Rhinolophus ferrumequinum: one gene and its partners. The protein of the gene in region 4 interacts with the protein of the main gene of each other region in a pairwise test. Links are inferred from orthologs where the notes say so. Each region holds a gene or a part of one and is shown on either strand. Other genes may lie near its edges.

The links.
Region 1: the proteins of ATXN1 (region 4) and TENT5A interact in binary tests that used the Homo sapiens proteins (3 or more experiments, as listed by UniProt). The link is inferred for Rhinolophus ferrumequinum from reciprocal best matches to the Homo sapiens genes ATXN1 and TENT5A.
Region 2: the proteins of ATXN1 (region 4) and ESRP1 interact in binary tests that used the Homo sapiens proteins (3 or more experiments, as listed by UniProt). The link is inferred for Rhinolophus ferrumequinum from reciprocal best matches to the Homo sapiens genes ATXN1 and ESRP1.
Region 3: the proteins of ATXN1 (region 4) and EIF4ENIF1 interact in binary tests that used the Homo sapiens proteins (3 or more experiments, as listed by UniProt). The link is inferred for Rhinolophus ferrumequinum from reciprocal best matches to the Homo sapiens genes ATXN1 and EIF4ENIF1.

What each region holds. Positions count from the first base shown.
Region 1 is NC_046286.1:40,706,303-40,713,993, forward strand, and holds the start of TENT5A (terminal nucleotidyltransferase 5A), read right to left. Parts: upstream 3,109-7,691; 5' UTR 2,836-3,108; coding exon 2,816-2,835; intron 2,608-2,815; coding exon 2,049-2,607; intron 937-2,048; coding exon 160-936; 3' UTR 1-159.
Region 2 is NC_046297.1:35,970,690-35,978,174, reverse strand, and holds the start of ESRP1 (epithelial splicing regulatory protein 1), read right to left. Parts: upstream 3,112-7,485; 5' UTR 2,794-3,111; coding exon 2,662-2,793; intron 2,141-2,661; coding exon 2,012-2,140; intron 760-2,011; coding exon 646-759; intron 1-645. UniProt on the Homo sapiens protein: mRNA splicing factor that regulates the formation of epithelial cell-specific isoforms. Specifically regulates the expression of FGFR2-IIIb, an epithelial cell-specific isoform of FGFR2.
Region 3 is NC_046308.1:20,406,811-20,414,627, forward strand, and holds the start of EIF4ENIF1 (eukaryotic translation initiation factor 4E transporter), read right to left. Parts: upstream 3,206-7,817; 5' UTR 3,058-3,205; intron 2,899-3,057; exon of another isoform or gene 2,773-2,898; intron 2,749-2,772; exon of another isoform or gene 2,628-2,748; intron 2,125-2,627; 5' UTR 2,098-2,124; coding exon 2,002-2,097; intron 1-2,001. UniProt on the Homo sapiens protein: EIF4E-binding protein that regulates translation and stability of mRNAs in processing bodies (P-bodies). Plays a key role in P-bodies to coordinate the storage of translationally inactive mRNAs in the cytoplasm and prevent their degradation.
Region 4 is NC_046292.1:78,029,193-78,036,583, reverse strand, and holds the start of ATXN1 (ataxin-1), read right to left. Parts: upstream 3,156-7,391; 5' UTR 2,958-3,155; intron 1,992-2,957; exon of another isoform or gene 1,782-1,991; intron 1,762-1,781; exon of another isoform or gene 1,749-1,761; intron 1-1,748. UniProt on the Homo sapiens protein: Chromatin-binding factor that repress Notch signaling in the absence of Notch intracellular domain by acting as a CBF1 corepressor. Binds to the HEY promoter and might assist, along with NCOR2, RBPJ-mediated repression. Binds RNA in vitro.

The DNA of each region.
Region 1 (7,691 bases), on a different chromosome or scaffold from region 4:
CATACCTATGAAAGGATCCACAAGCTTTGCCAAGCTTAAAACCAGGAGCAGATCATCATTGCACAAAACACGTCCCTAATCAGGGCTGGGTCATTCAGCCTTCCCTCCCCCCCTTTCTTGTCTGAAATGGCTTCCCCACAGGACATTTTAAAATAATTCTTAATTGCAGGGTAGCCAAGTGGAGTATGTCTGTTGCTGGCATGTGAATACTGGCTGGACTTGTGCAATGTAGTAATTGCTAAAGTTGGCATCTGCTACATAGGGGGCCGGTTGGTAATAGCAAGTGACATTGGCCACATTAGGGATGACATTTTGGTCAGCTAGCACCCGGATAGCCAGCATTGTGATAAGGTTTAAAGTCTGTCTTCTTTCATGTCCCATCAGGCACACTGTACTCTCATTTACCACTCCATGAAGGGTCATGAGATAGTCATACTTGCGGTCTTCCAACCCCACGAAGTGGTTCTGTAAATAGGACTCCAGTTTTCTCTGCTGTTCTCCAATGTCTGAGAAGTCGATGAAAAACCTGGAACACATATACCTCTGAAGGGTCTTGATCTCATCAGAGGCAGGCCTAAAGCCCCTCACTAAGAGGTTGCAGTACTTAAGCAAGCCTCCCCCTCTGATTTCCTCTGGGTTCCTGGTGGCAATGATCTTGTTACAAAGGTGATCAAAGGCTTCGTGGAAATCACCATAGACGCTCTCACCGATTATCGTGGGGTGAAATGTTTCAGTCATTGGGTTCTCTGAACATTCGTAAAAGAGGAGAAGAGAGTCTAATTTGATTTGAAAAGAATCTACACTAAATTCAAACTGCCTCCGGAGGGAATCCACAAATTTCAGTTCCACATTTTTGCCACTGTTGTTTGACAGGGATATAAGACTCCAGCGGTCAGAGTCATTGCACACTTTAACCATTTTCTGCACATAAGCTTCCTACAATTCAAAAGATAAAACAAGAAGATAAGCATACCTAGAAAAGATCATAAATAAATACGTCTTCACAGATGAGATTCATTTTGCTCCTTCCCTTTTGTTTTGTCAAGTTTCAGCAAAACACTACCTACAGGCTTAAATAGTCTTCCGAAAACAGAAAAAAAAATACATTTAACGAGTGGTTTTACAGTCTGGGAAGGAGACTAGAAGTAATAATTTGAGGCTTTTGGCAGATGTAGCACAGGACTGAGAGGTTCTGTTGTCTTGTCTGACTTTTGAAGTGTTATTTTTTGAAAATGGTCTTACAGGTACAACATTCACACAATATCCACACAATAATCAAAAGACAGAAGAGGATACAGTGAAAAGTTAGTCTGCCTCTCATCCTTGTCTCTAGTCACCCAGTTCTTCTCCCCCTGAGGCAACAGATGTGATCAGTATCTTGTCTGTCCTTCTAGGGGTACTCAGCAGTTACAATCAAAATGAACTATATTAGGACATTCTGGGAGGCTGATTCCTCAGACAATTTTAACTAAACATATAAAACGCGCTTTGAACCAAAGTAGGGAGGGGGGACCCACTATACCTTAACAAATGAACCAACCCGGAGAAGCACCACATTTATCCTAAACACACAGAGTCAGCTAAATGCAGCTAGGAAACCTATTCACATTTTCCAATACAATAAGCTCACTGACTTGGTTCTGCTTCAGGCTGCTATTTTCTCAAAGGCTACATCATAAAATGACTCAAAAAATGATTTACATCATTTCATTCTTCCACTTAGAATCTACTCTGAACAAGGCTCAAGCAAGGAAAGCCAAGAGTTAAAAAATAAGGAGAAGGAAGAGGAGGGAGGGCAGAGGAGGAAGCAGAAGAATTGTGGCGCTGAAGCACCAAGTCAAGTACAACGCTCAACACTGTTCCACGCACCTTACTTGACTCATTTTTCTTTTTTAAATCAAAAGCAAAGTAAATAAGCGCGCCCAAAGCTGTCACGGCCGCAGATCTGTGGCATCAAACACAAGTCCCTCTGAAAACCCCTTTCCCTCGGCCCGCCGCACCCCAGCCCAGCCCGGGTGCGGACCCCAGCCCAAGTCGGGGGGCTTTACCTTGAGCGTGAGTGGTGTGATCTTCTCTTTGTTCACCCCTTCGGGTAAGAAGTCCAACAGGCAGTCCAGCACGACGTCCTTCACAGTCTGAAACTCCTCTTCCCCGCGCAGGTCGGCGCAGAAGATGAGGTCCAGGTCCTTGTAGCCCAGGCCGCTGTCCTGGTGCAGGACATGGCTGGCGGCCGAGCCGTTGAGGCGCACGTCGCGGACGCCGATGCACTTCTCCGCCAGCCGTCGCCGCACCACCTTCACGATCAGGCTCGGCTGCAGCTCGAGCGTGGGGAAGTTGCCGCGCCCGTGGATCGGGATGATCTCGCTCAGGATGCCGTCCAGCCGCTGCACTTGCTCCCAGTTCAGCACGTTGCAGTGCGCCGTGGAGCTTTCGCAATAGTCCAAGCAATGCCCGCCGAAACCGCCGCTGACGACGACTTCGCCGCCGCTAAAGTCGCCGCCCAGGGGGATGTAGGGGCCGCCGGCCAGCTCGTCCTCGACCATGGCAAAGTACCCCTCGCCTTCCGCCATGAAGTGCCCGCCGAATGCCACTTGGCCCTGGTCGGTCCTAAAAGAAGAAAGGAAAAAAAAAAAAGAGGGGAGAAGAAGCTAGGTGAGGACGCCTGGCTGCGAACAGGAGCCCGTAGAGGAAAGAGCGCGCCCCCTCCCCGGTTCGCTCCCTGACCGACTTGGGGACTGACTCCTCTGAGACTCTTCCTCCCCAGCCCCTCCTGTCCCCAGCCGCGCGCACCGCGCCCCGCAGAGCAGCCCCGCACCAAAAGTATCTCTGATGCATCTGGAAAGCGCAAGCGGGAGTCCCGTCTGTGTCACCTGGAGACGGCCGCCCCTTCTAGGAGCGCAGCGAGCGAGGAACCGCGAAGGGGCAACACTTCCAGGAGCTGCGACTGCGCTCCAGGCAGCGGCGAGCGACTTAGTCCTTCCCAGACCCCAGCCGCCTGAGCTGGCCACTCCCGCCTCTCGCCCCCGCCCGCGCTGCTGCCGTCTCAGCTGCGGTGGTCCTAGAGGTGGCGGCTCCTACTACTGTTGCCGCCGCCGCACACGCTCCGGTCTCTGGAGCTTTAGCACTTATGCGAGGGAAACGTCTTCAGTACTTTTTTTATACCGGGCCTCTCCGCGCTTCCGGGGCCCTGGCGCAGCGCGTTCGCCACACCCTCCTCATCTGCATAGGGCGCCGCCCCTGCCCGCCGGCGGACGGAGCGCGGAGCTGCCCGCGCGCTGAGCCCCCGGGGCCCAGCCAAGCGGTTTTCAGAGCCCCAGGCCAGTGGCAGTACTTGTGCGCGTATATTACGTGCGTGTATTTATACATATATCTCTCTTACATACAGCCCCCTCGCCCATGCGTGTTTTTTTTTCCCCAACGGAGGAGACAAAAATGTCTCACGGGTCCTAAGTGGTCCTCAAAACTGGAACATAACTAAAACCTCGCAACTACAGAAACTTCCCAAACATAAAATTCTCGCCAGATGTGGTGGGTTCTTACAGATGATGGGGCTCCAGAGGTTCTTCACGACTTCCCTGTTAAACACCATGTACTGTATAGCTAGACGGTTTACTTCATTAATAAACCCGGTCTCTGGGTGAATTCATGAGTCCACTTGTCCATTCAAAGCGGTCGCTGCGCCTGAGAGGAGGGGCTCGCGCCTTGGGTTTCGATTCTGGAAACGTCGGGAAGCGCCTGGAAGCTCAGGGCGAGCTTGAGGAGACGCGAGGGCGGGGCCGCGAGCGTGGGTCCGACTTCTGCGCACGAGCGGCTCCGGGAGGCCGGAACAGAGCCCTGGCCGGCGCGCGTCACTGAGCGGACTCCCGGGCGGCTGTGGCGGCCGGGTGGCCACCGGCCAAAGGCCGAGGCCGGGGGCGGGCCCAGAGCGCCCGGCGCGGGTAGCGCGCGGCCTTTGGGGCGCGCAAAGGGCTCCTGCGCGGAGCCCGACACTTCGCAGCGCGACTGTTACTGAGAACCGCAGGAGGCAAAGCGCGGTAGGAATACCGCGCTGAGGTTTGCCTTTTTCAAGTGAAAACAAATGTCAGTGGGAATGAGCTAGTTTGCTAGTCACGGTGCGTGTTTACAGGATAAAAGAGTTTCTCCCCGAGCTTCGGCGGTGCGAAAGGAGTGTAAAGATTATCCCCACCCGTACTCGCACCACCATCTTTGCTAGAAAGCTCGCCCTCTGCCCACCCTTTCTTCTGGCCGCTCGCTGCCTTTCCCGAACTAGGAGGAACTTTCTTCTACGTAGAGGGTCCGTGAGGCTAAGGTGGGGTGGAAGGGGAGAGCGCCGGGAAGCTGGAAACTTCCTCGCGTGGCCCTGCGCCACCCCAGCCGCCCAGCCTGGAAGGGAGAACAGACCGCCCCCTCTAAACTGGGGGAGCCCGGGCCTGGTCACCAAAGCTGCGCGCCTGGTGGGGTCCGGGGAGGGGACGGTCACCCGCGGAACATCCAGCAGTGTGACAACGCCGCCCCCTGCCGGTGCCCTGCAGAGCTGTGTCCCAAAGCAGAGAAACCGGCGGGACCTTAGAAGGTAGCCATTACCCTTCAGCAATGTGGGCGATCTGGAAACGGCGGAAGCCAAGAGAAACCACACAGTTCTCATAGGCCATCGCCTCTCCAAAAGCACACACGTATTCCCGTCCAACCATCTACGCTTAAATCCATTCATTCTATCCAGGCATTCAGCAAAATTACATATATGTGTATCTATGGTTTGACCACCTATGACCTGCCAGGCACCAGGCTGAGTGCTGAGGATTTAAGAATGACTATGTTTCACAGAATCTCGTGGGCATGACAGGCAAGTCCATAATTATGGTTCAACTGTATATGTGTCATGAGAGAAGGAGTGGTGGGCTAACTAGGATTGGGGGAACTGGGAGAGAAGACCAGAAGAGAGAGAGAGGTTATTTGGGTAGAATCTTGAAAAGTGAACTTTCCTTGGATAGCTGAGGAAGGAGAAAGGCATTATCAACCAAGGGAAGAGTATAAGAGAATTCGAGAATGTTTGAAGATGTATAAACCACCACGGTAAAAAATGAGATCAGTAGTGCATTTGGATAAGGTTTGTGGGAGTTCGAGGAATTTATTGAGCACTTCTAGGCCATACTCTGCTTAGCTCTTTAGACATAAAACCGTATTTACTCTTCAAGGAGAAGGTAATCTATGGCATAGGGATTTGAAAATAGAAGAACCTAGACGTGAAGCGATTCGCCCAAGTTTCATGGCTAATAAGTGCTGGAGTCAGGCCTTAAACCCAACTCGTTTGGCTGTGAGTGCTGTGTAGCCATCATTTTCAGGAATGGGATGTCTGTTACCAGTACCTTCTCACTGGAAGGCAAGACAAGTACAAATAGCAAACAGATTTGAAAGAAAAAGAGGAGGCCTGTTAAAAATGTTTCTTTCAAAGGCCAATATAAATTCTGCCCCTTAAAACAAGGCCAAAGAGGTAGATCATATATTAGGTACACTGAGCTGAAAAAATAAAGTTTAACCCCACTACCACTATTTTGTACTTGATTTTAACTCTTCGTCAAAAAAAAACAAAACAAAAAAAAACAGAAGAGTCAGCTAGTGAGCACCGATGCTTCATGTACGCTCAGGATTTTGTTCTGTGGGGCTAAAGAAATCATTTTAGCAAGTTGCGCATGTGATCCTGACACAAGGGCTCAACCATATTTTGCACTATACTGATGAGAGCCACTGCAGTTCTCTAGGTTGGGACCCTCTCTCAAAGAGAGGCTGCTCTTCTCTGCCGGGCTGCTCTTAGGGACCCTCCCAGGAATGGAGCACATAGCTGAGAGGCTGAAGTAGCACATGAGGCACACATGGAGGGCCTGCTATTCGTCAGACCCTGTTGTGGGGAAAAGATAAGTTCTAGCAGCAGTGGGGCAAGACCCTCCTCCCAAGCTACCAGAGCTTGTGACTGACACTTCCTTAACCCTTTAGCAAAGCATTCCCTACTCCCCAACCAGGATCTCCCCTCACAGCATCCTTCAAAATCTCCATAATCCAGAACCTACCAACTCTTGCACTAGGACATCTGGGTTATCTTACTCTTGGCAGTGCCTTGATGCTTTGACTGGATTCATGTGTGCACGATTCATAGTGGCCACTCAATAAAATTGTTGAATGAAAGCATCTGTTATTCTTTGTCCTTCTTCTCCCTGTCTTCAAACTGACATATTTACATTCTGGAGGAAAAAAATGTTCATCCTTACATGAAATTGCAAATTTTGCAATTTTAAGCATTTAGTTTTCTTCTAGCTAACCAAAATAATTATCACATGAGAAAGCTTATACTTTCCAAACACATTCACAGCCAAGAAATTGCTCAGCACAGATTAAATTTAGGTGCAGACTTGCATTTTTTCCCCCCGGCTTTAGCTTCTGAACCTATTTGGTAAATAATTTACTTTTCCCTATTTAAAAGGGGAAAAAAAATCTATGGCAGTATGATGCTATGAGTCTCTACCTGAAATTCTTAAAAGGAAACTTTACATACATTTTTGAGAATTTAAAAAAACACTTATAATTACTTGATTTTGATTTAAAACGTATAGTAACAATCCAATCAGTCCAGACTTAGCACAATAAGAAATTCAATTTTAGCCTTTAAATTGGTTACCATTATTTAGTTTGTTATGATGTGCCAGGCTCAGTATTTTATATACATTATTTCTTTTCAACTTTCTTCAAATATCAGAGCTTTACATGTTACATTCCCATTGTCCAGATAAGGAAAATAAGGCAGAGAAAGGTTAAGTAACCTACAGAAGGAAAAGAGCCTTGATTTAGAGCACGTGGCTGCCCTCCTAGTCCCTTTTTCATTCTTGAGTCTGTCTTCTCACTTTCCTTTTACACTTAAAACTGAACTGGAACTGCACCCTGCTCCTTTTTTTTCCAGGTTCTGAATGTTCAGATCGGACACAACATTGAAGACCAAGGTGTTTTATCCTGAAACAACCATTGAGGGCCAGAATGCACAGTAAGCTAACTGGGTTTATGGGAGTTTCTTCCCTAGCCATGAACGATCTGTCTCTAAAATAGTAGAGAGCTAGGAAGCTACCAGCCTTACAGAGAGCTTCCAAGAAACCCCACTGACGCTGAAGGAGTGTGAGGCTTGGAGACTGCCCCAAGTGCATTTAACGGTGGCACTACCTTTCCCATTTTGCTTTGTCTGCTTCCTATCTTCTCAAAAATGGTTTTAGAAGATAAGGAAGCAAATATGAAATGATTCCCCCAAGCTCATACCCAGAAGGAGAGAAAAAGAGAAGTGCATAGAAAACTGCTGTTAGTAACCCTTATTTTACTTAATAGTGGCCCCTAAACGCAAGAGTACTGATACTGGCAATTCAAATATGCCAAAGAGAAGACGTATGTACAGGAAAAAACAGTATATAGGGTTCATTACTATCTGTGGTTTTAGATATCTGCTAGGAGTCTTGGAACATATCCCCCGTGGATAAGGGGAGACTACTGTACCTGTTTTCACAGGGACATGGTGCTTGTGAAGTGACTTTCCCCATGCTTCTTCAGGGAAATAACAAATATTTATTCAGGATTTATCGAAGGCCAGAAACATCCTAAATTATATAACTTCTAGGTTAGTTTGGAAATAGCAGTCCAACTTCTTATTACTTGTATGG
Region 2 (7,485 bases), on a different chromosome or scaffold from region 4:
ATACAAGATTCAATCAGTTTTGGACAAAGTGCAATATACTATAATCAACATTTCAGTAGTTATATGATTAAGTCTTACCTTGGCAGTACAAAGCTTTTAAATAAAATTAGAATTAGAATTAAAAAGATTTCTCTGAACTTCTTTTTCTTTGCGTCTTCCTTTCTTGGATAAAGCATTTTCCACACAGATGGGAATGTTATGGTGTATTAAAATACAGTTCTCTCCTATTACTTGTAGTTATTTTAAGTATGGAAAAAGGAGAATGTCAAGCATTTAAAAAACTTGACATATACAAAGCTTTTAAGTCACCCAAGGGTACCTATAAAATTACTGCAGTCTCAAACATCTCTATGAAAGTATCATGAATTTTGTATTGTGGTAAAATATACATAACACAATATTTAACATTTTAACAATTTAAGTGCACAGTTCAGTGGCATTAAGTACATTCACTTTCTTGTACAAGGATCATCACCATCCCTTCGTGATCTTCTCAAACCGAAATTCTGTACCCATGAAACAATAACTCCCCATATGCATTTATTTAAAATCGAAAAACTTGGAAAAAATCTTTTTTTTTTTTTTTTTTAAAGCCTCCAGTTACCCCAAAGGTCCAATTGCCTTTCGAGAACTGAGCCCTCTTACCTTCTTGGAAGCCTCAGGATGCAGGATTTGCCTGACATGAAGCTGCCCATCAGTACAGAGACAGAAAGAGGTTCCTACCCCAATATTTAGTTCATTGCTCACTGACTGGTTAAACTGAAAAGAAAAAGACACAAGAATGTAATTGATGCAGGATTTACAATTTGCAAAGTGGCCCCAGTTGGTCGTGACAATCAGAGAAAAAAAATGCACTAACTACAGTGAAGAGGGACACTGGCATTGGGGACATTAGAAAAATTTGGTTCCCACAAACTGTCTAGCTTCCTTTAGACAGAGCTTTCCAATCAACCAGCAGTTTTGCACAGAATTCAGTAAATGTATTCTTTTTTCCTTCCGTCCGCACCCCTTTCTATTTTTTTTTTTTGCGAAAAATCCAAGACTTTAAAATCAGAGATCTTGTTTCATCAGCAGATTGCCTTCGGATTACATCATTCCCTGCTGTTACTTTTTTTTTATGGTTGAATGTTCTAGGCTTAAAATGCCAGTTGGGCAATGTGGGTAATGGTTATGGAAAGTCTGGTAACACGTTTCCTTGAAACACACCTCAGAAATGATCACTTTCCACTATAATTCGCAACACATATGCTAGGGCAGGCAGGGGCCAGGAGGGCGCCGGACACTCTCTGGTGCACAGGTGTTTAGCGCCCTGCCCTAACTCGATCCAGTACCCGTCAGCACCTCAAAGCAGCCAGTTTTTAGGTCACTCGTTTCCACAAGTGGATTCCACCACTTTCACGGTGACCCAACAAGCAGCCCTGCATGTCACGCGGCCTGCAAACCTTCCCCCGCGTTAGGACCAAGGCCACTAAAAATAATGGAACCGGAACCCAGCATTTGGGAGTTCAGAATCCTGAAACCAAACAGAGGCTGCCTCTAGAACTTGGCGCGAGGCCGGCCGCTCTACACCACAGCGCCTCCTGCCCCAGGGCTGAGCCGCAGACCGAAACCCCCGAAGAGAACAGGCGCGCCTGGCATCTGGGCCGGTGGATGAGCGAGGTAGTATTCAAACTCCGCTCATCAGGCGATTGGTAAAACCCAGCTGATTCTCTGACCCAGGGAATGACTCAGGAAACAACTAGAAAACTAGCGAATTTTGGCCCAAGGTCTTGGGGTTTGAGAACAGAGAGAAACAGCGACCTCCTCCCAAAGATCCGACCCCGACCTGCAGGCGGGGTTTCCACCCAAGCCGCCCGGCGACTCGCCACCAAGCACCGGGGACGCGCATGGACCACCAGCCGAGGGCGTGGGGCCTGGTAGGCCTGGGTCCGCTGGCGGGTGTGGGGGTGGGTTCGGGGGTGACGCCTGGGCCGCTAGGCTGGGGGTGGGCGGCACGGCCCAGGGCCGTCACCTGTCGGAGAGCTTGGTCCAGCTGCGGCGCGGAGGACAGGCTTTCGGTGTCGATCTTAGTTTCTTCTTTACACTCCTCCGTCAGCTCCAGCTGATCCGGTCTAACTAGTACTTCGTGCAACTGTCCCACCTCCGGGGGAAAGAAGCAGGAGTCAGTTTCCCCCTTCCTCAATTTAAGAGCCTCCCCACCCCAACCCTACTCCTTTGCTCCCTTGCTGGGGCGGTCCGCGCCTCGGGAGGGGTCTGGCCGCAGAATCAAAGCTCACTGGTCGCCAGAGGCTCCGGAAGCCGAAAGGTCGGTGCGGCCCAGCCCCCGACCCCACCCCCACCAGGATCGGGTCGGAAAGGCTCAGGAAGCCGGCACAGGGGGCCCGGGGGATTCCACCCGGGTTCCGCAGGGCGTCCCCGACGGGCAGAGAACCTGACTTGGCGGCGACAGGCCTCTCCACCTGAGCCAGATTTTGGAGGGCTGAAATGGCTCCAAGGCGGAGGGCCAGCAAGTTTGGTTTTACTCTGGATTCTCTAGGCCCCAGGTCCCGCCTCACAAGTGGGAAAACAAGAGCACTTGTTGATTGACCTCCCCCCGCAAATTTCTATACAACAAACTTCTTGCCCCACCCCTATCATTTGGACAGAAACGTGGAGAAATACCTTCTTGTTGGCCAGATCCACGACTTTCCATAACAGCAGGATAAGCTCCTTCTCATCCGAGCCCAGCTTGGCCCCAGTGGCCCCAGCAGTGATTCCAAAAAGCACCACCAAGTAATCCGGAGACGCCGTCATGGTGATGGGTGGGGAGGGGGAAATAGGGGTTCGGGAGGCGGTGAGGGAGGGTGTAAATGAGAACAAGAAAACCTGTCCTAAAACCTCTCCTAAGAGAAAAAGAAAGAGCGCCCACCCCCCCTCCTCCTCCACCTCCTCGCCGCCGCCTGTGCAAAAGGCGGTAACCAGCCACCCAAGCCCACACCTGGCCGGTACTCCACACCCAGGGCAGGATAGGGGTGGGAAGGAGGGCGCAGGAGACCTGCCCTTTTTGTATCCAATTGCCGGTGCGTCTATGAAAAAAGCCTGGAGCAGGGCTGCACCCCCGGGAGGCGCGCGCAATGGCTGAAAGCTTTTCTGTTTGGGGCTGTGGCTCTACCTGCCCGCCCCTTCTACCCCTCCCCCACGTGGTGCAGGTAAGAGACACCTGGCGGCGCCGGCCCATTGGCTCCTTCAAACCACTACGTGGCAGCGGTGGAGGAGGAGGCAGCCTAGGGAAACGGGAGGAGGGGGCGGGAGACAATGGCTGGATGAATGGAGAGGGGAGGGCGAGAGGGAGGAGGGGGAGACGCGCAGACGGTTTCCACCCTGAGGGTAGACGAGGCCAGAAGGGAAAAGGGTGAAGGGTGAAAGGCGCGGGGGAAGGGGAGGAGTCGGGGTCACACCTTTTGGGAGGTATTCGAGAGGTGTGGGGGCTTGGAGAAATGCCGGCTGTGGGGAACGAATGCGGAGGTTCTAAAGTGACAAGCGAAAAGGCCTGGCGTGGGGAGGTGAAAGGAGACCAGAGGGGAGGCCCGAAGTGCGGAACTGCCCAGAGCGCCGCGCCGGGAGAGGCATATCGCGGCGGGAGGGACCGCCAACGGCAGCCGGGAGGTGGCAGGGGCAATTGCCAAGCACCGGAAAGCCGCTCCCGAGCCCAACACACCTGTAAGTGCAAACAGCAGGCCCTGCGGGCTGTTCCCTTCGGCCCGGAGCCCGGGCGCACGCTCCAACCCCGAGGCACTGCCCACCTTCGGGAGTGAAACCCTCGCGCGCGGCAGAGCCAGGCTCCCGGGGCTGGACGTTCAGTCATAAGTCACGCTCAAAGCAGTTGGTTGGCGCAAAGCAGGAGGAGGTACCCCGGGAGGAAATTCAGGTGCTTGGAGCCCTCTCCCTTTTCTCTCAATGACTCCCTTAAATGCTACGTCTTATTTGGTCCTGGCTGCCTGTTCGAGACTGGAATCTCCTCCAGGGCAGGGGCCCACTTCCTTTGATTTGCCCTGGACCCAAAATAAGACAGCTACCCGGCGTACCGAAAGTTTTTGTAAATCAGGCCAGAGCCAGCTTTTCCTCAGTTGCCACTGACCCCACACTCTCTACTCCTACATTTGCCTCTGTAATTGTGTCGATTTGGCCAATGTTCCGAAGCAGTCTCCCTACTCTAGCTCGGGTTAGGTCTGCCCAGAGGCTATGCAGTCCACCACTTCCCCTTAGCCAAGTTGGACGGCTCTGTAGTGAGTCCTGTTGACATTTTAGAGAGCAAAGCGGTAGCAGTGGTTTCCTCGAGTTTCATATTTCAAACTGATCTAGTCTTGGGAACACAATTTCGTCTGAAGTATTATTAATTCGGCTCCAGGTGTCCAGCCCTTTATATTCATGAGATATCACGCAACCGTACCCCTATCGCTACAGTAACCTACTCTGGGTATAAACCCGAGAACCTTTCAGGACGCATGTAAGGGGAAGCTGGCGATTGAGCTTTCCCGACGGGGAGGAAGCCCGGCCGGAGTGGGGAAGGGGCTGAGGCTCTGGGTGGGGGGCAGTGTTTGGGGAGCATGAGGCCCGCGCCGCCGCGTTTCCTGGCTGCTGGGATTGCGCGCGGCGAAGCTGCCTCCCGCTGCGCAGGTAGCAGCTAGCGTCCTGGGGGTGCGGACGGAGGCCGGGCTATGCCCGGGGCAGGCAGCCCTGTAAGGGCCAGCGAGGGTGATCTGTACCACCCTCGTTTGCAGTTAGGTTTCCAGCGGCGCGTGCTTCTCCCTCCTGGACTGCAGGATGCGGGGTAGGAAAGAGCCCCCGCAATCCACAGCTGGTTCGCAGCGGCGGCTTCGCCCCGCCTTGTCCCGGTATCTCCAAGCCACCCTCCGGGGCCCGCAGGCGTCACGGGGGCAGGGACTAGGCTCCGAGAGAGGCAGGGAGGGACCTGGAAAAACCACCCAGATTGCATTGCAGTGGGAGAGGCCTCCTGGAGGAGCCGGTTTCCCTGAGCCACCTTCGCTCGGGGCTTTCTCGGTGCGCGGTTCCCAGGTGCTCTGCCCAGCCAGGGCCGGAAGGTGCAGGTCCCGGTGCAGGGCGCTGTTGGGGTGCACCCGAACGCGTGCGGCGCGGTCCGGAGGTCCAACGCCGGACAACCACTGTGTCTGAGAAAGTGGTTAGAAAGCTTAGGAAGTCCTGCTGCGCCCATCCTTTCAGGCCTTTGGTGTTCGGATTAGTCATTTGTATAGCGCGTTTAGAGAAACTGAGAACATGATTTTCAACGCGTTTGCCAGGGATTCCGCAGAGTTATTCATATTAGAATCGAATCTCAGGGCTGCCCCTTTTCACAGACTTTCCTTCCTGTTTAAGGAAGTCAGATCTTTGGTTTCTGATTGTTTTTCACTTAAATTTTAATTTGCCCAACTAGGTTACAAGGACAAGAATTTTGTTCCTTTCTCGAAGGTATTCCCAGGGCTTGGAATAAAGCTTGACATATACTACATACTCAACAAATATTTGTTGAGTGATTATAATGAGTAACACCCACCCATTGTTGCAGCTGTTTGTCTCCTGAGCTAGGGCATAGCTTATTACCTCGAACGTGAGATTCTGAAAATGGGAGTCTACAGGTAATTTAAGTCTCAAATGTTTAAAAAGAGTAGGTGCTAATTCTTTGACAGACAAACCTACTTTTGTTAAAGAAATTCAACTCTTGTAAAATGCAGAGGTGCCAAGAAAAACTATGCGGTACAAGCAGCTTAGTTCTGAATACAAAAATGTTTTATGTCCATCCCATCATCTATAAGTAATTCTAATATAGTAAGAATAATCAGTATGAGGTGGGTGTGAGGAATCTTGAAAAGAGAGGCTCATTCTACCCGTTGTCTTTAATGGAGACGATCCTTAAAACTCCCAAAAACAAATGAAATCTTTTTTTTTTTTTCAAAGCAACAGAGACCCAAATTGAGGGATAGGCTGCAAAATAAGTGGCCTGTATTCTTAAAACCATGAAGGTCATGAAAAACAAAAACTGAAGAACCATTCCAGATTAAAGGAATTTATGAGACATGACAACTACACATGGCAACATGGATCCTGGATCAGAAAAACTTTGCTTTTTTTTTTAAGGACATTGGGACAATAGGAAAACATTGCATAAGGTCTGAAGGTCTGTAGATTAAATAATAGTATTGTATCAGTGTTAATTTCCTGATTTTTGTAATATGCCTGTGTTTCAGCAGGAGAATGTCCTTTGTTTTAGGAAGTACCAGTATTTAGGGATAAGGGGAATCATGTGTATAGCACTCAAATGATTCTGACAAAATATACATACATACATACATACAAGATAAAGCAAATGTGGTAAAATGTTAATATTGAGGAATCTGAGTAAAGGAATTCTTTATATTATTCGTTGCAACTTTTAAAAGTTTTGGAAAAGTATCAGATAACTTTTTGCTGTCACCACCATTCTGTTGTTTAACAAGGCTCTGTCTCATGACTTGTTAATGCTAACCTAATCCTTCATACTGCAGAATGAATCCATTTTCTTTGTCTTTTCCTTAGTGAAAGGAGGAGAAAGAAAAGGTCACCATTTTCTGTATAACAATCCTTTCAGATACTTTAAGGTTGTCCTTAAATAACTTTCCTAGACTAAATTACTGCAAACTCTTTAAAACTTTCATCCTTAAACTTACTTTCCTACTCTTTGTCTTCATTACTCTCCTTGCACCCTTTTCCTCTTATCTGTTTTAGAGAGTAGCTCTTAAAATGGATGGAATTCAACTGCTGTGACCTGACCATTGACACAGTGATAACTATATGTCATGTTTACTACTTTCAGTGCAGTTCCCTTTTTATAACTATGGTAGCAGCACTACAACTTGCTGACTCCAGTTTTGTTTGAGATCTCTGGATCTTTATTGGAGTTTTCAATTGCACATACCTCATTGTTCTCTTGTACCTGTAAGAAACGAGCCTTCAAAAGTGAATCAAAGTATGAAAATATTCTCAAATTAGATAGTGGTGATGGTTGCACAAATGTGAAATATTAAAAACCACTGAATTGCACACTTTAAAAGTGTAGAGATTACAGTATGTAAATTATATCTCAGTTCCTCCACCCCTTCTTCTGCCTCACCCCTCACTCCGGTTCAAGCCATTGTTTCTCAGTCTAGTGTAAGACACAGCTCCCTGGCCCATGCTGGTACTGTGAGCCTTGCGCTCCCCACCCTGGCTGAGGCAGTCTGTCGCCAGTGGTCTGTCGGCTCACAGCAGCTCGCCGAGCTCCGGCTGTTCACACTCACTGGCCCTTGTGGGAATTGAATAGGCGACTTCGGTGTTAGCAGCACTGCGCTCCAACCACCTGACCACAGGGCCGGCCCTATATCAGTTTTTTAAAAAGCAAATCACAGTAAAAGCCTGTGTTGTGAGGCTACTACAAGCTATTGATATTTCTTATTTGTATTAGATGCAGTTGTA
Region 3 (7,817 bases), on a different chromosome or scaffold from region 4:
TACGGGGTCAGTGGCAAGATACAGAAGCAAAGGAGGAACAGCACAAAGTATGCATATTTTGTAATCTAACATCAATTTGTTCACTTGAAGGAAAAAACACACAGATCTGAATGGGATGATCCAAAGCATTTCTATTGTGTAGTTCAAACAGAAGATAGTATCACTAATAGAAAAGCAGGTATTACACCTCGAGAACTGGTGAACAAAGATCCCTGATGAAGATAAGAAAAAGTTGAAAGGGTCTCACATAAAATTACTAAAGTAGAGAAACATACATACGAAAGCACTACCCTAACATTGTTTGAACACAATCTTAAACCAGCCATTAACTAAATTCTGTTGAATGGGGCGGAAAGTAAACCTATTTCCAACTAAATTTGTTAGTGAAGACCATTAAATCTAAGGTCTGCTGTCATTAACTTAAAAAACGCCTTTCTTAACCATTTTAAGCACATTTATCTAAATACGGCAGAATTCTGAGGCTGGACTGTCAAAAATGGGCAATACTGAGATTCTTCATCTTTATTGTAGACATACATAAGTTCTACCCTAACAGAGACCAATAATATCTTTCTAAAAATTACTTAAGCATAAAGATGGATATACATTAAGTATGATATATACATGCCACCTTCAGATCAGTGTGTGAAAGTGATTCAAAAGCCTCTCTGCCAGGACTCTACAAAGAGAATACCAGTTAGAACTTTTATTCAAAAGGTGCCGGCTGAGTTGAAATCACAAAAGCAGTTCAAATCAGTTTTCCTTCATTTAATAAGCATTTCTCCATTCAGAATTCACCTGTCAACATTTCAGGTGATGAATTTAAGTTGTGAAATACTCAAGCACTCTCAGGTTTGAGGGGAACTACATTTGGGAAGACCAAATATGAATGAAGTACTAAAGTGCTTTCTATCAACTCACTGTGATGCCAAAACAGATTGTGTTAAGACAGCAATTAACCAAGAACTCTTTTACACCTGAAAACACTTTTTCTTCTAGAGAGTTTTTTTTTAATGCTGAAAATGAGTATTACTGACATCATTTGATACTTTATCAAGTAGGTAAGAGTAACTTTATCAAGTAGGTGAGAGTAGTGGTACCAGTACTCAGACAAAGCCTGACTTTAAAATATTAACCCATCAGTATGCTGGGAAACTAGGGACAATAACTACACCAGAGTCCTTGATTGGTTCCATACTAAAAAAAAGACAGATATGGGCCCACCTAGGACATAACCCTTCCTGTCAACTGTCCCAAGCACATTTTATGTATTCCAGCCCAATACATTTCAGGGAACCAGAATGAATTCACAGCTGAGTCCTGCAAACCTCTTCAGAAACATTCAACAGTCAACAAGATACTGGAACAATAGCTTCAATAAATATACGACCTTGAGGTGATTTGCAACTCCCTGGAAAAAGCAAGTATCTAGACCGAGCAGTTCTAAATCACAGGTTTTTAGCTAGGGGAAATATAATTGAAGTCTTACTTTTGTGAATCCACATCTAATTTATAACTGGAAGTAAAAAACAGAATTAAAAAATCTGGTTACTCCAGTCAAGCACCTAGAATGCACCAAAGAGTATTCCTTTGGGGTGTTCACCTCTTAAAGAAACATCAATACAGAGGACACTGGTTTTGTGAGCCATCTCAGAGCTGGAATCCTTACTCTATAGCATGTAAGTCAACAACATACCAGACACACACAGCTATTACAGAATTTGTGTGCCAACATACACTGGTCCACAAATTCATATGGGAGCTGAGCAGATATTCCCTTCACCTGAAAACTACTTAGAAGCAAATTCTAGTTTAAACTCGGTATTCAGACTTAGAAGAAAAAGTTCAAAGCCATGCTTTACTAAATCTAGTTAATATTTAGTCCATTTAGTAAGTCAGAATGAGACTACACTTTAGATAATACTAATGAAATACCTACACAATGTTACTAACCTCCCCACCTTTATAAAGAAACACTATTTCAGTAGTAACAAAGCCTACTTTTGTATAGCGATGGGGGGATTTCGAGGCCGGCTGCTTCTTCAAGTCAAGGAAAGCATCTCCATTTTCTGTTTCGCCCACACTTCTCCTATCCATGGCTCCTTGGTCTACAATTCTTTGCACCTGGAAGATAAATCAGCACAAAACTGTCACGGAGAACAATAATTTTTCAGAAGTCTTAACTGTTTAAGAAACTGAAACTCTCTCTTAAAATGACTACCTTTAAAAAAAAAAAAAAAACCCTTACAATTACGCTATAAACCAGAACCCAATTGGAAATAAAACCACTGGTAGTTATCTCTTCTAGTAAATAAAGTGCTCTAAGCATCAAAAACGTAAGGAAAGAAGTGGAAGGTGCCCAAATTAGGGTAGAGAGCCTTTAAGCAGCTTTACTACAAAAGGATATCAAGATTAGTCGTTGCCACCCATAGGGACCGTTCAGGGAGTAGAGGGGAAGTTTCCCGGAGTGGGGGCAGATGGGAAACTCGTTGGGGCTGGGGATCCGGTAAGTCGGGCTGTAATACAGTGCCTGTCACTTGCCAATGGACGGCGCCAGCTGCCCCTTGTTATCCAGGGGCCAGGGTCTGGGGACGGAGCCCGAGCGCCCCTCGCCCAGCCGGCCGCACCTGTGGCCATGTCAGGGGCGCCCGTGGCAAGGAAGGAGCGAACGCCGAAACTCAGCTTTCCCGGGCCGCGACCCCAACCCCCGGCCTCTCGCGCAGGCCCCTACCCAGCGCCTTCCTTCCGAGGAAGGGCGGGGATGCTACTCACGAGGGGAGGCGGGCCGGAGGGAGCGGGAGGCCGAATCCCCCGGCCCGGGCGCTAAGCGCAGGAGCCGGCGCAGGCCCGCCGCCGTCCGCTCCGGCGGCTCGGGCCCCGCCAGCCCGCTGCCCGCCCGCCACCCCGCTGGCCTGGCGTCCCTGCCCGCCCCCCGCGCGCGCCCCGGCGCTCGCGCTCAGGCACGCGACCCCGGGAGCAGCGCGCCCGCGCCCCTTCTCTCCCTGCGGGCCCTGGCGCGCGGCGTCCCAGACCCCGCCGCCGCAGCCAGCCCCTTACTCGGTGCCTCCGCCGCTTGGCGGTCTTTCGCCACGGCCGTCGCTCCCCTCCCCACCGTCCGCGCCGGTCCGAGGGCTACTCCGCGAGGCCTTCACGCTCGCCCCCCTAACCGCTCCGGCTGTCTCTCTTCAGCCGCCGTAACCGCGGCCCAGCCCTCCGCCCCTCCTCCCTGGCCCCCTCCTCCTTAATAACTCCCTCCACGCACCCGGGCCCCAGCACCGCCTTCGCCCGGATGTGAGGTGGCCGCGGCAATGCCGGACGGAAAAGAGAAACATCGCGACGCGCTTCCCGGGCGCTGGCCCCTGTGTGCGCTCGGTAGCGGGAAGGCGGTGGCTGGGAGGCGGTGGCGGCGGAGGCGAGGAGCCCGGGTCGAGGGCGGCGGAAGCCCTCCCTGGTGCGCGCAGGCGGTCGTCGTGGGCAGCCCCGGGGAGGATGCCGCGTTCCCACGCGCGCTTCGGGGCGGGGCGGAACGGGATGGGCTGTGCTTGGGGCCCGCGCCAGGCTTTCCTTTTGGGAAGGAGGTGGCAGCAGGGAAGTGGGTCGGGGTCCGCGGCTTGGCCCGACTTGGGAGCGTGTCGACGGCTGCGTTTGCACAGTTCGAGCTGGCGGCGAACCCAGGGGCTAACCAGTGCGAATGAGTTAGGCGAACCTGGGGGCTTTTGAGCCTTCCGGGTGTGGGCTCGAACCTCAGCTCTTTTACTAGTGGTATAATTTTGGTGACATCTCTGAGTTTAGCTCTTATCCTTTCTAAAATGGTCTCTCTGTATAAGTCTGTGAGGAATAAACGAGATCACGCGTTGATGCCTTAGTAGGCAAACTTGCCACGATTGCTTTTGATTGAGCTAAGGGCGACAAATGTATTGAAATGTTCCCTGCCGCCCATAACCAGAAGTCTGCATGGGAAGGGAAAGTGCAAGTGTGTGGGTGAAAATGAGATGGCGAACGAACGTCAAGCACTTCGTACCCAGTGCCGAGACTCTGGCTGACAGGGACACAGAAACGCAAATGTTAAATCCCTACTCTGTGAGCAATGAGAGTAACTGCTGTGCGTAGGGGGGCTGGGGGGAGAGGAGCCGTCAGGAAAGGTTTGACCGAGATCACCTGTGAGCCTGTTCTGCAGGATTATCACCAGCTCGTTTGCCCAGTGGGACCGCCCAGGGTTTGTGTAAAATGATACAGAGGTGTGGAAGGAATCATAGCTTTTCTTGCTAAAGGGTATCGAAGTCTACATTTCTTTGAAGGAGACTACTTTCTTTAGCTTCACTTTCTTGTGAAATCAGATTGGGCAGTGAGTTATCACTTAGTCCTTCCTGGAGTTTTGACAACAGAGAAAAGAATTATGAAAACGTTTTTCTTTTCCTCTATAATACTGAATAAAAAGTGTTTCTTACAAATGATCTGTTCTCTGCAGGCAAGAGGTAGAGGGAAACATTTGCAAATTGGAGGAGTTTGCATCCCAGCTCTACCCTATAGGCCGTGGAGAATTAGGCCCTTTATTTTTAGCCCTGATTTTCTCATCAGTAAAATTAGGAAGATGATAACCCACTCAGAGGGCTATTGTCAAGATTAAATGAGAAAAGGTGGGTAAAAAGCCTTACACAGGGTCGGCCCAGTGGCTCAGGCAGTTGGAGCTCCATGCTCTGAACTCCAAAGGCTGCCGGTTCGATTCCCACGTGGGCCAGTGGGCTCTCAACCACAAGGTTGCCAGTTCAATTCCTCGAGTCCCGCAAGGGATGGTGGGCTCTGCCCCCTGCAACTAAGATTGAACACGGCACCTTGAGCTGAGCTGCCTCCCGGATGGCTCAGTTGGTTGGAGCGCAGGCTCTCAACCACAAGGTTGCCGGTTCAATTCCTCGAGTCCCGCAAGGGATGGTGGGCAGCACCTTGCAACTAAAATTGAACACGGCATCTTGAGCTGAGCTGCCACTGAGCTCCCTGATGATGGCTCAGTTGGTTGGACTGGAATGCGTCCTCTCAAGCACAAGGTTACTGATTGGACTCCCGCAAGGGATGGTGGGCTGTGCCCCCTGCAACTAGAAAACGGCAACTGGACCTGGAGGTGAGCTGTGCCCCTCACAATTAAGACTGAAAGGACAACTTGAAGCTGAACAGCACCCTCCACAACTAAGATTGAAAGGACAAACAACTTGACTTGGAAAAAAGTCCTGGAAGTACACACTGTTCCCCCAATAAAGTCCTGTTCCCCTTCCCCAATAATAATAATAAAAAAAAATCTAAAAAAAAATGTCAAAGCCTTAATGGTATATTAAAAAAAAAAAAGCCCTATACAACCTCCATAAAGCTGCTGGATATTTTTTTTAAGCCTATACAGAGACATGTTGTAGGTGAGCAAACAATGGTGGTGGTTATTATTAAAACCAAATTGCTTTTGGAATCCAGGTTCTTCCTAATGCTGAAGAAATGGTCTAATCTCCTTGCCATTATGGAGTAATGGAGATGCCTGTTCTTTGAAGCTCTTAAATCCTAATCTCTGCCACTTGGTGTCAAACCTGAGCCAGTCATTTCACTTTTCTGGACCTGTTTACTCCATGTCAAAAAATGGATAGCAGTATCTACTTTCTAAGCTTGTAGTGGGAATTAGACATAACATATTAAAAACACTGTTCTGGTTATCTACTGCTGTGTATAAAATCACCCCAAAACTCAGTGGCTTAACTCAACATTTATTTTGCACCCAAATCTGCAATTGGGCTGGTTCTAACTGGGACAGCTGGTCTCTTCTCCATTCAGCATCATCTAGAGCAGTGGAAGGCTGAGGGCTAGGATCATCTAATGGCTCACTTACATGTTTGGTGGTTGATGGTGGCTGTCAGTTGGGAACACTGGAGCTGTTGAAACACTTACACAGGGCCTCTCTATGGCCTGATCTTCCTCACAACATAGTGGCTGGATTCCGAAGGCAAGTGTCCAGAGAGAATAAGAGAGTCAGTCAATTGTTGCACTTTCTAACCTAGCCTCGAAGTCCCTCTGTTCTGCCACATGCCACATTCTGTTCTTTACATAGGAGTCACTAAGTTTGGCCTATATTCAAGAGGAGGGGACTTAGACTACACCTTTATATGGGAGGAGTGTTAAAAGAATTTGTGAGCATACTTTAAAATTACCACAAGCCACATGTGAAATCTGCTCAAGGCAATTCACTATCATGATATTGGCCTGGCTTGGAGCTAATTTCCTGGGCCCTCTGGTCTATCCAAGTTAGGATGTATTCTTGCACCAGCTCTTTTAATGTCTTGTAGAACTTTGTTCTCAACTTACCTTTCAGAGTCTCAATTTGTCCTTGTGAAAGGAGAAGACAATTATTACCTAGGAATAAAGGTAATAATATACTAAAAGAGGCCATGCAAAAGCTAGATCCTTGCAAACACTTGTTTCATTATAGCTTTTGAATGTTATTCTCCTTAGCAGGAATAATTTGGAATTCTAAGTGCCCCTTTTTGCAACTAACAACTTTCAAATACCAGTATGGGAAACCCCTTGAGAGAGTAAGAGAAATGATTTATTCTAGTTGCTTACTAAATATTTGTAAGATCTTGGTTTAGGTTCAAATTGTTGGTTCCAAGTTTGGCCTAAGGGAACTCAAATATTCAGTCAGTTGGGAAATTAGCAGTCCAAGAACAGTAAAGAAGCAAATGAAAATATTAAAAACCTAGAAAATTTGAGAGCAGCCACTTCTCAGAAAGTTGAAATCACAACTCAACTGTCCTGTACTTCTCTAAATGGGCTTTTTCCTACTCAGTTTTGTTTGTTTGTTTTGCTCCAAGGGTAATTCTTAGTTCCAAGAAAATAGGATATGAACAGTTTCACAGTTGTGCTATCTTGTACTCAGATTAAGGACTATCAGAAAATTACTAATGGACTTCCGGAAGATCACACAGCAAATTATATTCAGAGCCTAGACCCCTTCTGGCACTCTACATCTTTGATTTTATATATGAGAAGTACTTAAAACAGCCTGACACCATGTAAGTGCTGCTGCCCTAGCTATTCTGTACTATTATGTTCCTATCTTTCTCAACAGGACTTTTCATAACTCAATTGGAAAGGGCTTTCATCCCTTCCTAAATTATGATGGTAAATGCATGTGACAAAGAAAGCGCCAGCAAATCATCTAGAAAGCATGCTTATTGATTTATTGTCTTGGATATGTCATGATTTATATAAAATACTTATAAGAAAGACTAATTTTACAATAAATATTACAGTGTTAATTAGGACTTTGAAACTCACTAAATTTTTTAAAGCTTCTTGGTCGCATATCTTTAGATAAGAGTTGTTCGTAAAAGATTGGCCCCAGTGTCCCACTAAAGTGGAACTCCTCTTTTTTAAACACTTTTTTAAATTACAAAAATTAACATACGTAGAAAATAGAGCGAAAATACAAATTAACCTGTGATTCCATTCCTGAGACAACCAACAAGTTATTTTGCTCATGTTTTTAACGTAAAATCTTTCAAGCATTTATATACATGATGCTAGCCTTTGGTCTCTCCACCAGACATCTCACGTGCTTTCAAACGATGTTTTACAAAGCACAGTAGAAAAGTATTAAAAAATGCCTCACCTATCCTCCCCCACCCCATTTTTTAAAATGATCAGAATGGACCCAAATTTTAAAATTTAACAACTATTCACTAACAACTAGTGCTTATTAATTATAGTTTTAAAGGAAGGGTTAAGAGAAGATACCAGCCTAGGATAATTTTAATTCGGGGGGCCGCGGAACGACGGATCTCACC
Region 4 (7,391 bases):
AACTGGCAACTTAGGTTCTAAAGGATGAGCACTTTCACACTTGAAAGGGTTAAGTGCCTGCAAGGCCAATGGTACCAGAAGGCAAAAGAAATGTTGCTTTAGTCAGCTCTGAAAGGTTTCTAACAAGTACCAAATACTTGTTGATCTGTTCACAATAAACACCAGCAGGATTGTCAGGCTCCTTTCACTGTCTGGGGAGAGACATTTACATACTGCACCCAGTAAGAACAGCTTGTTGGTCTCCTTTATAAGAGTAGCGAGAAGCCTCATTCAGTGTCTCCCGTCCAAATGACTGAAAGAAGACGCAATTGAAATAGTGAAGTCTCTCGTCTGGCTTGGGCAGCACAAATACTGTGCATAAAACACTTGGAGTAGTCCAAGCACAAAACAAACCCACCTGAATGGACAAGGAACAGTGTCTGTTGCCATGGCAGCCTGATCTAATTACATGAGTGATCGGGGCTGGAGTAAGTGCACTGAAAACCTACACCACTGACCGTACCTAGAAGAGGAGAAAGACAGGGAGGCAGGAGGTTCAGGGGAGACTTCAACCTCTGCTTTAAGTAGCAGCCCATTTGTCTGTGGAGCTGCTAAAATACTGACTGATGCATGTACAGTTAGAGGGCAGCCAGAGGAGATTAAATGCCACAGCCTTAGCAGTTATGGTGCAATCCCTCTCCAAGAGTTTATATGCAGGATTTTCTTGTCCTCCTCTCTGGTGGTTTCCCTAGGCATAAGCTTCGTTTCAAACAAAAGCTCAACAATCAAACAATCTTCACCCACCAAATAAACCACAAGGTGGGCTTAACAGGGGCTTCTAGGAACTCCAGGGCTCCTCAGAAACCCAAACAGAACTGGCTTAGCTAATAATGTTGAAAAGTAACTAGCTGAGCCTAAAAATAACCATCAAGTAACTGCTGTGTGCGATATGTAAGGATGATGTTTAAATATTAAGAACAGCCTGCATTATAAAACACAAATGTCATCGAGCTGTGACTACTAGATTGCCAAAGGAGAACTTATTTGCATACACGCATTCCCGTGCATGCACGACAGAATGTGCAGGGAGTATGCCACTCCAAGGCTGTGGGTGTAAATGGGGTCTTCTAATTTGGCTCATTGTATCCTGTGGATCTCACAGGGAAGCTAAGAATCTCTTCGGGTACAGAACCAGTTTGGAGGAGTCCCTACTGCACAGCATACGGTTAACAAAATAAAAATAGCTTGCCGTTCTCGTTAGCCACATCGCGCATTATATAACCAGCTTCCGACTGGCTTTTTTTTTTTCCGCCCTTACTACTCACTCTTCAGCAATTCCCAATCTTCCGAAGTATTTATATTACCCTCTTATCTGTAGGATTATATACTAAGAAAGCAAAACAAAACAGAGCCTCCACGGGACTAAACCGAACCTCACAGTCCTTAGGAAGGGATTTTTTTGTTTTCTGGCAGGAGCTCCACCACCACCCTACTTCCACCCCCCCCACCCCCACCAAGGTTCTTGCTAATCTCCCTAGAAAACCTGGATTGTTTCATTGCTTCCAGTCAGCCCCCTACGTGGTCTGAAATAAAATGAAAGCACAAGCCATGGAGTTTGGGAAGGCGGCCTGCGGGCGGGGGGCTGAGGAGGGGTCAGGCGCTGCAGTCAGCCAAGTGGCCTCAGCGGGCCCTCTCCCCATCGCGACGGCCCCTGTGGACGACCCCCCCGCCCCCGCCCCGCGCGCGCACACAGACGCACGCTCACTCACTCACACTCCCGCCGCGCTCCGCCACCGCCTCACCTCTCGCTCCGCCCGTCCGGCCCCTTCCCTGCCCCCTGCGGGGCTGGCCTGCGCGCTGCGCTGGGACCACGTAGGAGGCGGCGGCGGCGGCCGCGGGAGTGGCAGCGTCTCCGGCCCGGCCAGGAGTGAACGAGCAGCGGAGCTCCGGGGCGCATCCCAATAGCCGCAGCGCCTCCTCCTTCCCCTGCTCCTGGCTTCATTCACCCTCCCAGCAGTCGCGCGGCGGTTCACTCCTGGCGCCCACAGGGCAGCGCCTGCTGCCGCTCCTTTCCTCCCGCCGCGGGTGCGGGCGGGGGTGCCGGACCGGGCTGGGGCGCTCGCGGGCTCCCGGCTCCCGGCGGCGGCCACAGGATCAGGAAGCGGCCGTACCAACAGGGCGGCGGTGGTAGCGGAGCCAGGGCCGCCGCCACCACTCCGGCCGCGCTCCCGGCACCCGCACGCCCGCGACCCAGCGCCCACCCCTCCGCGCCCCCCGCGCTCCCACAGCCTGCGCCGGGCCGCGCGCAGAGTCCTGGCTCCGCAGCCGCACGCCGGGAAAGGCCGGCCTCGGTGGGTAGACCCCGGCCGTGGGACTCCGAGGCCAGGCGGCCACCGGCGGGACAGCCCAGCCTCGTCCAGACCCGCTTGCTCTCGCCGCCCTCTTTGGGTAGAAGGGTGAAGAGGGGGCGGCGACAGGAGTGGGCAGCGCGACCCCTGGCCGCTGTCGCCTCCCTTATGCCACCTCCAGGGATAAGGACACAGCTCTCCACACTCGCGAGCGGGACTAGCAGCCGCCCGAGCGAGGCGCCGCCACCGCCACTCTCCCGGCCCGCGCCCCCAGCCCGGGCGCGCCCCCTCACCCGGCGGGCGCCCACCCGGCCCCCAACAGCCCCCCTGCTGGCGGTCCGTGCACCCTGAGCAGGGTGTCGCTTCGGGAGGCTGGAGCCGAGGAAGGTTGTGTGTACACACACACACACACACACACACACCCCACCACCACCACAACACGCCGCGTCGGTTTCCTTCGCTCCTCTTCCAGCTGTTTTCGGTGCCGCCGATTGGGGTTTGGGGTTTGTTTGCTGGTTGTTGCTTTGGCCCCTCTCAGGAGAACGGGGGGCATCTTAATCTAAATCAGGGGAGAAGGGGATGGGGGAGGGGGAGAGACAGAATCAGAGGAGAAAAAAAATCGCCACTTACTGTAAAGTGTAAATGGATCTGGGGTGGCGTGGGGAAGGGGGGGCAGAGGGAGAGAAACAGTGTCTTGCGGCTGCTGTAGCTCTGGCTGCTGCTCCACGGGGCTTGTTTTGAATCCCCCTGCAGTGAAACAGGTCCTGTACGGCTCCGCCACTGTAGTAGAAATGATGTCTGCGGTATACTCTGCTCTCTCCTCCTCCTCCTCCCCCCGCTCTCCTCCCCTCCCTCCCTCCTCCCTCCGCCCTTCCTCCCTCCCTCGCGCTCTCTCGCGCTCGCTCGCTCGCTCGCTCGCTCCAGTATGTAAATGTGTAATAGAAGCCAAATATGGAGCAGTTGGCTGCCGCCGCCGCAGCTCAAGGATCCGACGGGGGGGGGGTGATAGGAGGGGGGACACCCTCCGGCGGGCGGCGGGGCGAGCCTCTCGGAGCCCGGCGAGCGCACGGCGGGCGGCTGGCCCGCGCCCTTAATCCTTCGGTGCGAGCGGCCCGGGCTCGGCGGCCCTCGGAGAGACTGGAGCGTTTCCCCCCAAGACTGGCTCGGGATCGGGGGTGGGTGGTGGGGGGAGGGGGGCAGGGAGACTTGGGTCAGAGGGGACAGTTCTTCCAGGTTTGGGAAAGGGGCGGGGAAGTGAGGCGATGAGGTAATTGTAGCGGTGACTGGTGGGTCCTCGCTCCCTTCCCTGGGTCCCTGCACCTAGTTGGAGGGGACAGAACGACAACGGAGTGCAACTCAGGCACCCTGGAGGATTCTCCGGCTCAGAGCCAATGAAATACCCCAGGGGGAGGGGAGACGAACCAGTTCTGATTGCTACGTGCCCTTGGTTCCGGGCGCGCCGAAAAGCGTCCAAGAGGGCTGACTGCGATCATCATTCACGTTAATCCTCAAACCGGTTTAGCTTCGGCGTTCGGGAACCCAGACCACCGGGGCACGGGGAGTGCCTTTGCGTGCAACTCTGGAAAGTTTTAAGGGACCCCCCCCCCGGACTGCACGTGCCCCTAACCTTTACTGCCTGGGACAGCCGGTGACCTCCCTGCCCTCTACCCAGCTCTAGCCTTGGTAGACGACCTGCGCACTCCTCTCGCAGCTAATTCGGGATCATTAATTTAATCGGAAATGAGGTAACCAGTGTAGGAGATAGAGAAAGCAAACCGAGCATCAAATGGCAGTTCTCGTGATTCCAGGCTGAAGAATTTACTCTGGACTCAATTTTTAAGTGCGGTTCTTACCCCACCACACCGCTCCTCCCCCTCGCCCCCGGACCCCTGCGCGCGCCACACACATCGCACGTATCACCGCCAGGTGTTAGCTCGACGGGAAGGAATCTTCTTTCGAAGGGTGCACCTTGCCAACAGGTGTGGCACCTGGAGGAAGAGAAGGCACATCCCTGCGAAAGGGAGCTCACTGCGGCGTTCCCCTGGCTGCAGGTAATTCTGGAAGACCAGTAGGTGTCCGGGCAGCGTTTGACCTCCTTCAGGTGCTTAGAACCAAGTGTCTAGAAACATGATCCCTCTACGTAAGTTTCTCTCTGGAAGCCACCACTATTGACTGTAAGCTGTATTTGAGAAACCTTTTGGCTAAGTTTACTTATGACCTAACGGTTAGTCACCAGCCGAAGCAGGATACAGAATCACCAAGAGAAATGTGTCAGCTTTTGAACAACTGTATTGTAGAGTCAACGTGCTACAGAAATAAAAAATAAGCATACTAACTAGGAAGGTGTAGAGCCCCGGAAATAACTTCTTTCTCACATTTTGAAATACCATGTACATATACATGGTTATTTAAATAGAACTACTACAGTTCACTCTTACTCATTTCTACAACTTCTTTTTTTATTTTTTTTTATTTAAAAATCAGTGATTGTTACAGTTTAAACACTGGGTTGGTGTAAAATGACATTGTTGGTCTCATTACAGCCTCTAGTGGACAGTTAAAATCAGTTTCCTAAAAAGGCTCTGCCTGGTGTTGTGTTCCTTGACAAGCATTACCAAGGTGAAGGTTAATACCTCAGACATAACCGGGTAATAATCTCTTCCCCCGGCAGAGCCGGCTTCTAAAAGGAGCAGAAGCTGTTGGGTCTGCAGGAAAAGACGTATGCTTTGTGCTGCAGGTATTATTATTACTGGCCTGTGAATAAACAGAGAGCTTCTGCTATTCATTTCAGTTTCAGACAGCTTTCATAAAAACTGAACTCATCTAAAATATTTTTATAACAGAAAATATTGGTTGCCATGTTTTTGGCTTAACTGAGATGTTTTTATTCCAGCTCCTAATCTGCAGACTGTCCAATCCACCTCGACTCTATTTTTAGACATCTTACATTTAGAGAATTTTCAGTAAAAAAAGAGCTAATATTTTAATATTACATTGACACAAACAGTTAAATTTAAGTTATTTTAACAAACTTAATCAAATTAAAACACATGATTCAGGTTAGTCAATTAATTTAAATATTCTCTCAAGGAAGCTAAAATGTATATTACCCAAAAAGTAAGAATAATAACAAATGTGTCATTTACTTTCTTAGCCATTAAGATTAAAGCCATAAACTGCTATTAAAATCTGTAACTATTTCTTCCTGCAAGGTCCAACCAACATAAACATAATACTCATGATATACTTTCTTTACCTTTAGCACTGAAATGTCTTATTTTCAGATGACAAAATAGTAAATGTACAATCACAAATAACTGGTACTAATTCTTTAAAAATGACTCTTTATGCAAATAAAAACTCAATGAAAGGAGAGCAGAGCTTTCAAGGAGCCAGTAGGCAAATATGTAGTACTGTGGTCCTATTCATAAACCTGATACTATATTTGTACAGCATAAGTCAAACTTTGAAATTAAAGGAAATTGAGAAATAAGGCCTGCTGAGCCTTACTCCTAATTTGTGTTCTGTATTGCTTAAACACGATGGAAAATCATTTTCATCCCTTATATCTATTTCACTGTTTTTGGTAGTATCTATTTTTGAAGGTTTAAAACGGGCTATCAAGAATATATTATATCATTATGTCTTGTGTCGAAAAACGTAGTCTTCAGAATAGCAGCAGCAGCATCTGGGAGTTTTCTAGACATTCAGAATGAGAGCTCCACCCCAGACCTACTGAATCAGAATCTGCCTTGTAACCAGCCCCTGGGTGATTCCTAAGCACATTCAAGTGTGAAAAATTCTATTCTATACTACAGGGCTCTGTCTATATGAATTTGGCCACAGATGCAGAACTTAATTCTCCTATTTATTCCTTTTTTATTTACTCCCTCTTTTATTAATTTGCACTTTTTAATGAGTAATTATTACATTCTATGCTTTGGTCAAATAGTACTGCATTTTTGAAGAGCTCTGATGTATACACAAATCTGCATCATCGTTGCCAAGAGAACACTGTGAGGAAAGTGCTGGGGTCTTGAACGTGAAGGTTTTCTTCATGGCAGCAGAGGGAGCAAAAGAGTACTTAATAAAACAAGTGTACAGGCAGCCCAATCGTAAGGGGTTTTAAATTGTAGTATTTGTTTTCATTGGAAGTAGCCTTTTGTATAGTTCAAAACAAAACAAAAACAAGCAAACACAAACAGCTTACCAGGTTATAACAAATAAATAGTGAACAGATTGGCAGTTAAATAGAATGGAGATGTACTTATTTAGAGTTTTAGGCTTGAATTCCTAAAAGAAAGTAGACTTCAAAAGTCATACTTGGAAAACATGCCTTAGCTTTTCTCCAGTCAAAAATAAAAATAACATAATCATTTAACAATATATGTAAGTCAAACCATCGTGCTGTGTGCCTTAAACTTACAGGGCGGTGTGTATCAATTATTTCTCAGTAAAATTGGGAAAAAATAAAGATACAATATAGAATAATGCAACTCTAAGAGTAACTCCTGTTTATCTCTTTAAAACGTTGAGGTCAATTAACCCAACACTATGTCAGGTAAGTTTGTTTCATTTGGACTCAAATGTCTTGGTGAAAGAATGCACTTTTCACCATGTTTACTTTCACGGTAATTTTAAGGGTTTGTCCTTAATGTTTACTGTGGTGAGGACGTATGTGTCAATTATATCTATGTAGCATTTTATACCTTTCATAGCCTTCGGTATTCCATCTTTAAACACTCCTGCCAGGTAGATAAGACATGGGAAAGAAAGGCAAGCCTCAAAACAGTTGTGGAACTGACTTGTGCTTTCATAGCGCTGGGACATTTGATTGTTACAATTATCCATTGAAGAGAGAGAAGAGAGAAGTTCAGAGAAGAGAGAAATCAGAGGTTAGAGATCCAACAGCATGTTCTTTACAGTTTAATAAAAGGTTTTTCAAAGTTACTAGACAGTGTTAATAAGTGGATATTTAAATAAGAGACTTATGAATAGAGACTATGTCTTCATTCTCAAGTTGCATTTAATGTATTTGTTATTTACTTACCAACAGCCTTTATG